Linked DNA regions of Drosophila melanogaster. The protein of the gene in region 1 interacts with the protein of each later gene in a pairwise test. Each region holds a gene or a part of one and is shown in the gene's direction. Other genes may lie near its edges.

Region 1 (4,188 bases):
ATTCATTTAATAATTAAATGCCTTGTGTGTCAGGGCATACATCGTATAGTATGCTTTATTTTCCGTGCACCAAGTCGTGTTCGGATTGCAAAACTAGTTAGCCGCATCGCAATTATGACAGAATTAAGTTTTATGCTGTGCCACCGAGGTGACCAACTGTCAGACCCGGCTAATCCGACCCGATCCGCTCCTCATGCCCAGTCCCGATCGACAGCAGTGGCCAGTCCCCAATCCCCGCCAGACAACCGCAAGGCGGCAAAGGAGCGACACAAACCGCACATAAAACTGTCACGGAGTGTGTTGCGGTGTGTCAATGGCCAGCGAGATGTGGATTCCGATCCATGGCAGCACCACCACCCACGTGCAACACAAATCACTCCGGTGGGTGAATGTGGATGGGTGCATTTGGATGCATATTCGGATATTCGTCCATGTTTGTGCCATTGACTTTGCAACTTTGTTGCGGCTCTCTTGCTCTGTCTGTTGCTCTGTTTGTCTGTTTGCCAATAAAACAAACAAAGAAGTTTGTCCCCCAAACCGGCAGTGTGCGAAAGATACAAAGATACCAGCTGGGTATCCGTATCTGTGTATCTACATACATTTGCACCGGAAGTGCAACTCAAACAGCGAGACACGAGACAACTTTTTGCTGCAGATCCTTTCCATCAACGTTTCCATATTTTCCTTTTGTCTAGAAAGTTTTCCCACTCAGCTCCACTCCTGTTTTTATCACTGACAAGTGTCAGAAGCAAAAGAGCCATGGAAATTAAAGTTCCATTGGCGGAACCCATCAGACCACGTTCGACAATCGATGATGAGTGTCATTGGAACATGGTAAGAACCTAAAGAACCACATTTAATGAATATGCCATAGTTTTTAAGGAAGTTAAAGGTAATAGATACATTACATACTCAGATGAAATTAAGCATACAAACACCAATTACCTCTTTGTAGAAGTCTTTAAAAATCACATCCCTTAGTTAACCACACTTGAAGTGGTAATTATATCAACATTCCAGTGCGCAGACAGTAATATATATTTAGTTATATTTAGTTTTTTTTTCCCCCTAAACTACTGTGCACGCTCGTTGGCCGTTATTCAACTGGCTGTACGTGATTACTGCCTGATTGCAGGACTAGATAAAAGCAGCAGACCTCGTAATTATGGCCTCAGATCCTTTTTACGCCGCCATCACTGCGCCTTTCTCACTCAATGAAGCGCAATAATTGAGGAGCTTAATGCAAATTCCTAGCCCAAAAGGGCAGCCACGCCCACTAAGCTGAAGTTGTGGGCGCGGGCGGAGAAAGTGGTGGTCGGTTAATGCAAGAGCCGGCACAGTGTATGCAAATGAGTTTCCAATGACTTGCCACAACGAAAGCAAGGCAAAAACAAAACAAAACGGCACGCAGCAAAGCGAAGGATATGACGTTGTGTCGCCTGCTGCACTTGAACTTGCCCATTAACTTGGCCCCATGCGTCTGCCCCATGTCTGCCAATATGCACTAAATATATATATATATATATATATATGTACATCCAGGCGTACATATCTAGAGATACAAGTGAGTCCCGCTGGCGGAGTGAAAGCGTCATAGCCACTTGTATTATACTTGGCTTAAGGCATTTTATGCGAAACTTGCGCTTTATTGGGTTCTCCTTTTAACGCTCAACTTAAAGCGATAAGCGAATTGCAATTTAGGTTCAGTGTCTGCCCTCTATTTCCCCTATCGGTGCACTTAAATGCTGTGCGGGAGTGACACTAAAAGCCTCTCCAGTCGGAAGACCAGCAGGCGGCATTGCACATTTACGATACTAAATCACTTAAGCCCGTTTTTGATTAGCTTTATTTCAAGGAATATGGAAAAACATTCAAGGCTTCCTATATAATATAATATATTTACTTGACCGTTTAACATGTTGGAAAACTCGTTTTTACATTGTGAAGATCCTTTAAAGGCCTTCAAACATTCGAATAGGCTTTAATAGGCAGCAGTCCACTTTAAGCGAGTAAGCATTTTCCTACCATCACATACCTGGATCACGAACCAACTACCCGAAACTTTATTTTTATGTTAAGTCGCTTAAAAAATTGCAAGTTGGATATATGCTAGTCTTTCGAAATTTAAATTTTCGCGCCTAGCTAAAAAAGAAGTGGCAGCACACAGTTGTAACTTGGAGAGTTGGCATCCTCCGCACATCAGCTGTGATTTGTTTACATTACGTTTTGCTAAGTGTCGTAATTCGGGAAAAGTCGCCAATTTGGAGCAACCTCTTATGATTATTCCAAAAATGTCGAGGCATGCTCTGATAGGTACGTTCAAAGGTGTTAGCCATCGGGCGCAGCCACCAATAACCAGGAATCTCGCTCAGGTGGTGGCACTGGCTTCATCGGTCGCAACCTGGCTAACCATTTGACCAAAAAGGGTTACGATGTGACGGTGATCTCCCGCATGCCAGGTGCGAAGCGTATCACCTGGCACGAGCTGGAGAAGAATGGTATTCCCGGATCCGTAAACGCCGTGGTAAATGCCACGGGCCAGAACACATTGGATCCAACGAGACGCTGGACTCCAGGATTCCAGCAGAATGTGTGGAACTCGCGAATCAACTCCTCAAAAACTTTGGCTCAGGCTATTAAGTCGGCTCCCCAGGTCTCATCTTTCGTGAATCTATGCGGTGTGAGTCACTATAAACCCTCGGAGTCCAAGGTTTACACCGAGGAGGATCAGGTGCAAGGATTCGACTACATGTCCAGGTTGTGCTTGGCCTGGGAGGAGGCTGCACACACTGGTAGTGAGCAGGATTGTAAAACCGTAAGTCAATACTATAGAGCATCTACAATAGGTATAAAAACCGCTTAATCCTTTTCAGACCATCCTGCGGTGTGGCGCTGTTGTGGGTCATGGCGGGGGCATGGTTCAGTCCATGTGGCTGCCCTTTAAGTTTGGCGTAGGAGGACCATTGGGTAATGGAAACCAAATAATGCCATGGATACACCTGCACGATCTGTGCAGCTTGATACAGTACATCATAGAGAAACCAGTGCCAGGAGTGGTCAATGCGGTGGCCCCAGAAATAACCAGCAATTTGGAGTTTAGCAAAGTAAAAATATCACAGCTTCTTAATACAAACACTATAATATCTTACGTTTTTGTCAGGCCTTTGCCAAAGCACTTCATCGCCCGTGTATCTTCGGCGTTCCAGAGTTTGTTGTCCAAGCCATCTTTGGACCAGAGCGGGCAGCTCTGGTTTTAAGTGGTGCCAAGGTCAAGCCACAGAAAGCTCTATCATCCGGATTTAAATTTCAATATCCCAGCGTCAAAGAGGCTGTGACGCAACTGACCCTCAAAGGATAACCGAATCTACACTGAATTCTGGTTACACGTATGCTTTATTATAAAGCAGTCTGTATATTAAATAGATGTTAGTACCAAGCGCAAATTAAAACGAATTTCTGCGATAGGGGGATTTATGAATCACGCCCTCCGAAAATAGACCCATTTAATTTGTTTACTCATTAGTCTTGTCCACCAGTATTTCATCATTATTTTGGTACCACATTAAATGTAATCATTGACTTAATTCGATTTATAAAACGTGTATAAACTTTAATTGCCTGAAGGGGAATCTTTTGCGAAACCAACATGTAATCTTGTACTGTAAGCTAAATAAAAGCGTGTAGATACAAGGGGATTTCACAAGAATTATTCAACGTGTGCGAAAGGTAGATAAAGAGATAAATCCGATCCCTTTTGCTGCGTTACTTGCCAATTAATATAATTGCAACCAAAGCTAAATTAATAGCAAAAAAAATTAATTGACTTGCACACGCTGTGAATACGCTATAAAAACCGACATAATCATAATCATACATCAATGGCTGATATTTTTTTTACCTCTCGGTGGGTTCTATAAATTGGGGACCCATGTCGGTTGGAGAATCAGTATCGTTTTTTGAGCTGCCGAACCAAAAATGCTTTCAAAATCGCAGCTATTACTGCTCGTTGTCGGGTTCTGCCTGGTATGATGATGTGTTATCACGCGACTCTAGCCCGGCTATAACTAATCTATTAACAGAATGCAGCCGTCTCGGCTGACGTGGACTGCAGCAAGCGGCCATCGTTTGTCAATCCCAAAACCTGTTGTCCAATGCCGGACTTCGTGACCGCCGAGTTGAAGCAAAAGT
Region 2 (4,740 bases), on another chromosome or scaffold:
TAAATAAATACAAGTCTGGCACTTCCGACAAATATTTTTCGCAATTTTATCTTTATTTAGTCCAGAAAAATGTTTCAAAAGATTTAATACTATCAATCACGTTTTAGTTTTGGCGACAACTATGAAGTAATCGTATAGATAAGGCCCATTAAGTAATATCGCAAAGCATTCAGCCATAACAAGCAACCAATTTTGTCAATCAGTAAAATTTGTAGGAACTGCTTCCGCGAAATCTTTCCCACAATCAGTGTTTTTACTTTTTGTGTCTTCTAGGCATTGGATTTACCCAACGAGAAGTCACGACCCAAGTGAGCATTATTTTCCGCCGATCCGGCGGTCACTATCATCATTACAGTGCGGCCGATAAGTACGTGGCCCATTGTCATTTAGTCATTAGCTTTGGGCCTTAATTGCAGGTGGAAAGCGGCGACCTTAATGCATTCGGTTCCACAGTGCGATTGATAAAAAGAAATGCATTTGCAATGCTTAAATGGGAGCAGAAAAAATAAGGAAAACATTCTAAGTAGACATAGTTATCTGAGTCCATCAGAAGATTTCCGGTAATTATAAGAGTATTATGAGTTTCTAACTATTTAAAATCAAAATTTAATGATTTAATTCAAAAAATCTTGAAAAAGACAAAATCTTTTAAGAATAACTGTTGCTTCTGATAAGAAGAAATGTATTTATTTACGCTTACTATAAGATTGAAAATCCTCCCCAAATACTAGATACCCTATTGAAAACTAGGTAATTTAACGAGTATTGACCAGGAGAACTGCATTTAACCAGAAAACCAAGAAGACGAATCTTTAGCGGATTTTATTTACACGAACCGGTTTAATTGGCTCGACCTCCAATCAGAATCAAGTTCACGAACGCACTGGCATTAAGAGTCCAATAAGTAAGTGCATTGGGGGAAATACAAATGGAAACAGATGAAAAGTCTCGCTGGAAATCGCTTACCCAAAGGGAAAATCTCTCTGGAAGCTGCTGGATGAAAGGATGTGGGAAGAAAACAACAGAAACGTTGCAGGATTAACGCGAATTTTTTCCTCTTTCTGTTTGATAGTGTGTGTATGTGGCGAATTAAAGTGACCAACAAAAACAGACACACACACACACACACGGCAGGCCGCTCACTAACTAAACACACACACACAGAATCGTACGCACCGCAAGAGAGCGAAAGAGATGGATGGAGCGAGGGGAGATTCGGAAATTGAACACGTTTGCCGCGATTCCGATTTCGATTCCGGCGGAGGGCGTAGTAACGTCCCTAAATTGTGGGCGACCCGGTTTATTTACACGTCCGTATGCCCGAATTACTTACATACATATGTGTGTATTATGGACCGCGCCTGCTGCACTTTCCACTACTACCACTCCAACTCTCTGTTGCGTACGCGCGGCTGTGTGTGCGTGTGTGAGTGTGTTTATGTGTGCGTATCAAGTGCACACGTATGCAACTGCTTGGCCGTGTGGGTGTTTTAAATTTGATTTTTTATCCGCAAAAAATTGCACCAAACTACTCACACTTGCACTGCACAAGCACTGTTAACTCTCTTTTGATTAATAATTAATTCATGCGCGACGCGACATATCCTCGTATCGGAGCAAAAAATTACGAAGAAGAGAGCGTTGCGGGTTGCTTAAATAGATTTTTCAGGTTTTTAGAGTGCCCAGCTGAGGTGTGCTGGAAAATAAAAGTGCGGAGGGACTAATGTTATCGATAGTTGCAATAAGACTGTTCAAAAACAATAGCTTAAAATTATTTTTAATGCTGTTTTTTAGTGGATTAATTGAATTGAATCAGTTGAATTAACTATTCTAAATCCTACTTTAATATTATTAGAAATTTTTAAAAATAAATTGTAAATGGAAGGGCAATATAAAAAAACAAAAAAAATTTATTTTGATATATATTCTATATATACATAAAATTTTGGGATTGGTACAAAGTAGTATTTTCGAACTGCCCGCCCATTTATCAGGTTTGTGAAATTAACGGTATAATTAAGCACGATAGTCGGCGAGTAATCGGCTTGCACAAAACGGAATACATTTAGTTATCGATTGCATATCAACTTCGCGTGCAATGCCCCTGGTCACACCTGCCATAATAAAAGAAAAACTTAGAAAAACGGCGATTAATTCAGCGCTGAAAATCATACGCCTCGCGTCTATCCGCGTCGCAATGTACAGTAGCAGCTTGCTGCCGGATCCGGCTGTCTATCAGCCGGACACCCTGGACCTGAACACGGATGGAAAGGCGGCGGATTACTGGTTCAACTGCTTCCGCGACATGGTGGCCAAGTTCGCGAAGGTGGCGGCCAAGTCACAGGAGGAGGATCACACGGCCACCCAGCGGGCGGAGCAGTTCCAGGCGGCGTATCTGCAGCGGCTGGAGGAGCACCAGCGTAATGTGCCAGTCAACAAGGGCAAGGTGATTCTAGGCACCAGTGAGCTTCTCAAGCTAAACGAAACCCTGTTGCGCCGCTACGGATTTACAGATCCCTGGCTGAGACAAAAGAGGCTGGAAAATGCATCGGCTGTTGCCCGCCTGAAGCAGCGTCTGCAGGAATTGGATGCCCTGGCGGATGAGGACACAAGGTGGACGGAGCTGGTACGCGGTGTCCTCGCCGGCAACATGTTTGACTGGGGCGCACAGGCCATATCTAACATACTGGAGCAGGACAGCAATTTCGGACTTCATTCAGCCCTGGATCGCATTGAGAAGCGACCCTGGTTGCTTGACAACCTGGACAGCTGGTTGAATCGCCTCAAGGGCGAGCCACACAAGTGCGCCGTGGTCTTTGTGGACAACAGCGGCGTGGATGTGGTTCTGGGTGTGCTTCCCTTTGTCCGTGGACTGCTGAAACGTGGCACCAAGGTGCTGCTCTGCGCCAACAGTGAACCTGCTCTAAATGATGTGACCAGCGAGGAGCTGAAATCCTTGCTGGACGACTGCTCGCGCGAGTGTGAGGTCCTGGAGCAGGCCTGGTCAAAGGGACAACTACTGGTCTATGCAAATGGACAGACTGGTCCCTGCCTGGATATGCGCACTCTCCCCAAGGAGCTGTGCGACGCCATCGCCGCCAATGAGACTGACCTGCTTGTGATTGAGGGCATGGGACGCGCCCTGCACACAAATCTGAATGCCCGCTTCGGCTGCGAGACCCTCAAGTTGGCCGTGATAAAAAACAAATGGCTGGCCAAGTACCTGGGCGGCGAGGATATGTTCGCCGTCGTCTGCAAGTTCGAACCGGCTGCGCCCAGCTAGTCCAGGAGCCACTACGTTCATTGTTATCCCTTGTTGACAAACAAACGATATCCCCGGTCCTTGTTCAGTTTGAAATCATTGTTACCGCCACCCAAAACCCACAACCCCCTAAACAATCCCATCCCTCAATCTACCGATGAGATTCATATGTGTATAAATGTAATCTTAATGCAAGTGCTTTCGTGGTCACCCCACCCATATAACCGCAAAAAAACTTTTAATAATTAAAAACAAGAATATATAATAACAAAGCCTTTTGTTTATCATGACGGCGGTTTATTATCGGTCATGGTTATATGGACTGCAATTTTGATAAGCACCGAATGGTGTGGATTACGCCCCGATAACGTCCACCGTTCGCTTCCAACGGGCATTTCATCAGCACGGACGGCTCACCCAGCAATTTCCCACCATAAAACTTGTCTGCTGTCTGCTTGATTTACATAGAGTCTGTCTATTTTGTTTGCGGTCTGCGGTGCGTGCTCATTCCTACGGACTGACTATCTCATTTATCTCTCGATTCGTGGTCGAAATAAAACAACAAAGTCATCGTAATAACTGGTTGATAAGCAGCAGCGAACGAAGCCGAGACCAGGAAATGCATGATCTTAAGCTAAATTCGAAATTAAATCGATCAACAGACTTAGGCATAAGAAACTTGCGAAGCTATTAATAAAAAATATGTCATTAAGATCCAAAAATAAACAAAAGAGGAAAATTGCCTGCAAATATTTGCCGTTCATAAAACGAATATAGAGTAGTGGGTCAGTTTGTTTGTTTCCGTTTATTGATAACTTTTAATCATGTGCTCAGAGTTTTATTAAGGCGGTTAACACGCAAATAAACTATATTTTTAAGCTTTAATGTAAGATAGTAAATTAAGAAACGTAAAATCATTAAAAATTACTTATCTTGCTTGATGAATACGAAATATAGAAATCAAACAAATAAGTATTTTCAATGTGCTCAAAGTAAAAAAAAAACATCAATTAAAGGAATATGAAGCATTTAGTAGACATTTAAGGTTCCTTGACAAATCACTCATGATTGAAATACCATCAAAAATTCCAAAAATAATAAATCCGTATAAATGTAACGGTCTTTTTAGATCTGAACAGCGTGGCGTTAACAGAGAGGTTTCCAGCGCAGACACTGTTAGGTGGCGCAGTGCTAACATCAGCTGTTGGGGGCGCGTGACACGAGCTCATCACTTCAAATTTTCAGTTGTCAGCTGTGCAGTTGTCAGTTTTTCGACGGTCGTGTGAAAATTAATGCTAAAAAATCCCCAATAGATAAACAATAAATAGACGTGCGGAAAAAGGATAGACGGGACAAGTTGAAACTCGCGTCGTTTTGGTTCTTTTAGTTTTCCTTAAACCACTTTGCTTTGCGCACAGTCAGGGATTTTCCGTTTTTTCATTCGGCCCCAAGCAATTATCGGCGTATCAAGCAGCAGA

What was found.
Region 2: the proteins of CG8768 (region 1) and CG5828 interact in a two-hybrid assay, tested with the Drosophila melanogaster proteins (one large-scale study listed by BioGRID).

The regions. Positions count from the first base shown.
Region 1 is NT_033778.4:12,690,708-12,694,895, reverse strand, and holds CG8768 (uncharacterized protein), read left to right. Parts: upstream 1-2,205; 5' UTR 2,206-2,276; coding exon 2,277-2,313; intron 2,314-2,372; coding exon 2,373-2,815; intron 2,816-2,873; coding exon 2,874-3,104; intron 3,105-3,160; coding exon 3,161-3,358; 3' UTR 3,359-3,588; downstream 3,589-4,188. Other genes in the region: Obp49a (Odorant-binding protein 49a), read left to right, coding at 3,976-4,023, 4,080-4,188.
Region 2 is NT_033779.5:5,091,909-5,096,648, forward strand, and holds CG5828 (uncharacterized protein), read left to right. Parts: upstream 1-2,067; 5' UTR 2,068-2,197; coding exon 2,198-3,283; 3' UTR 3,284-4,002; downstream 4,003-4,740.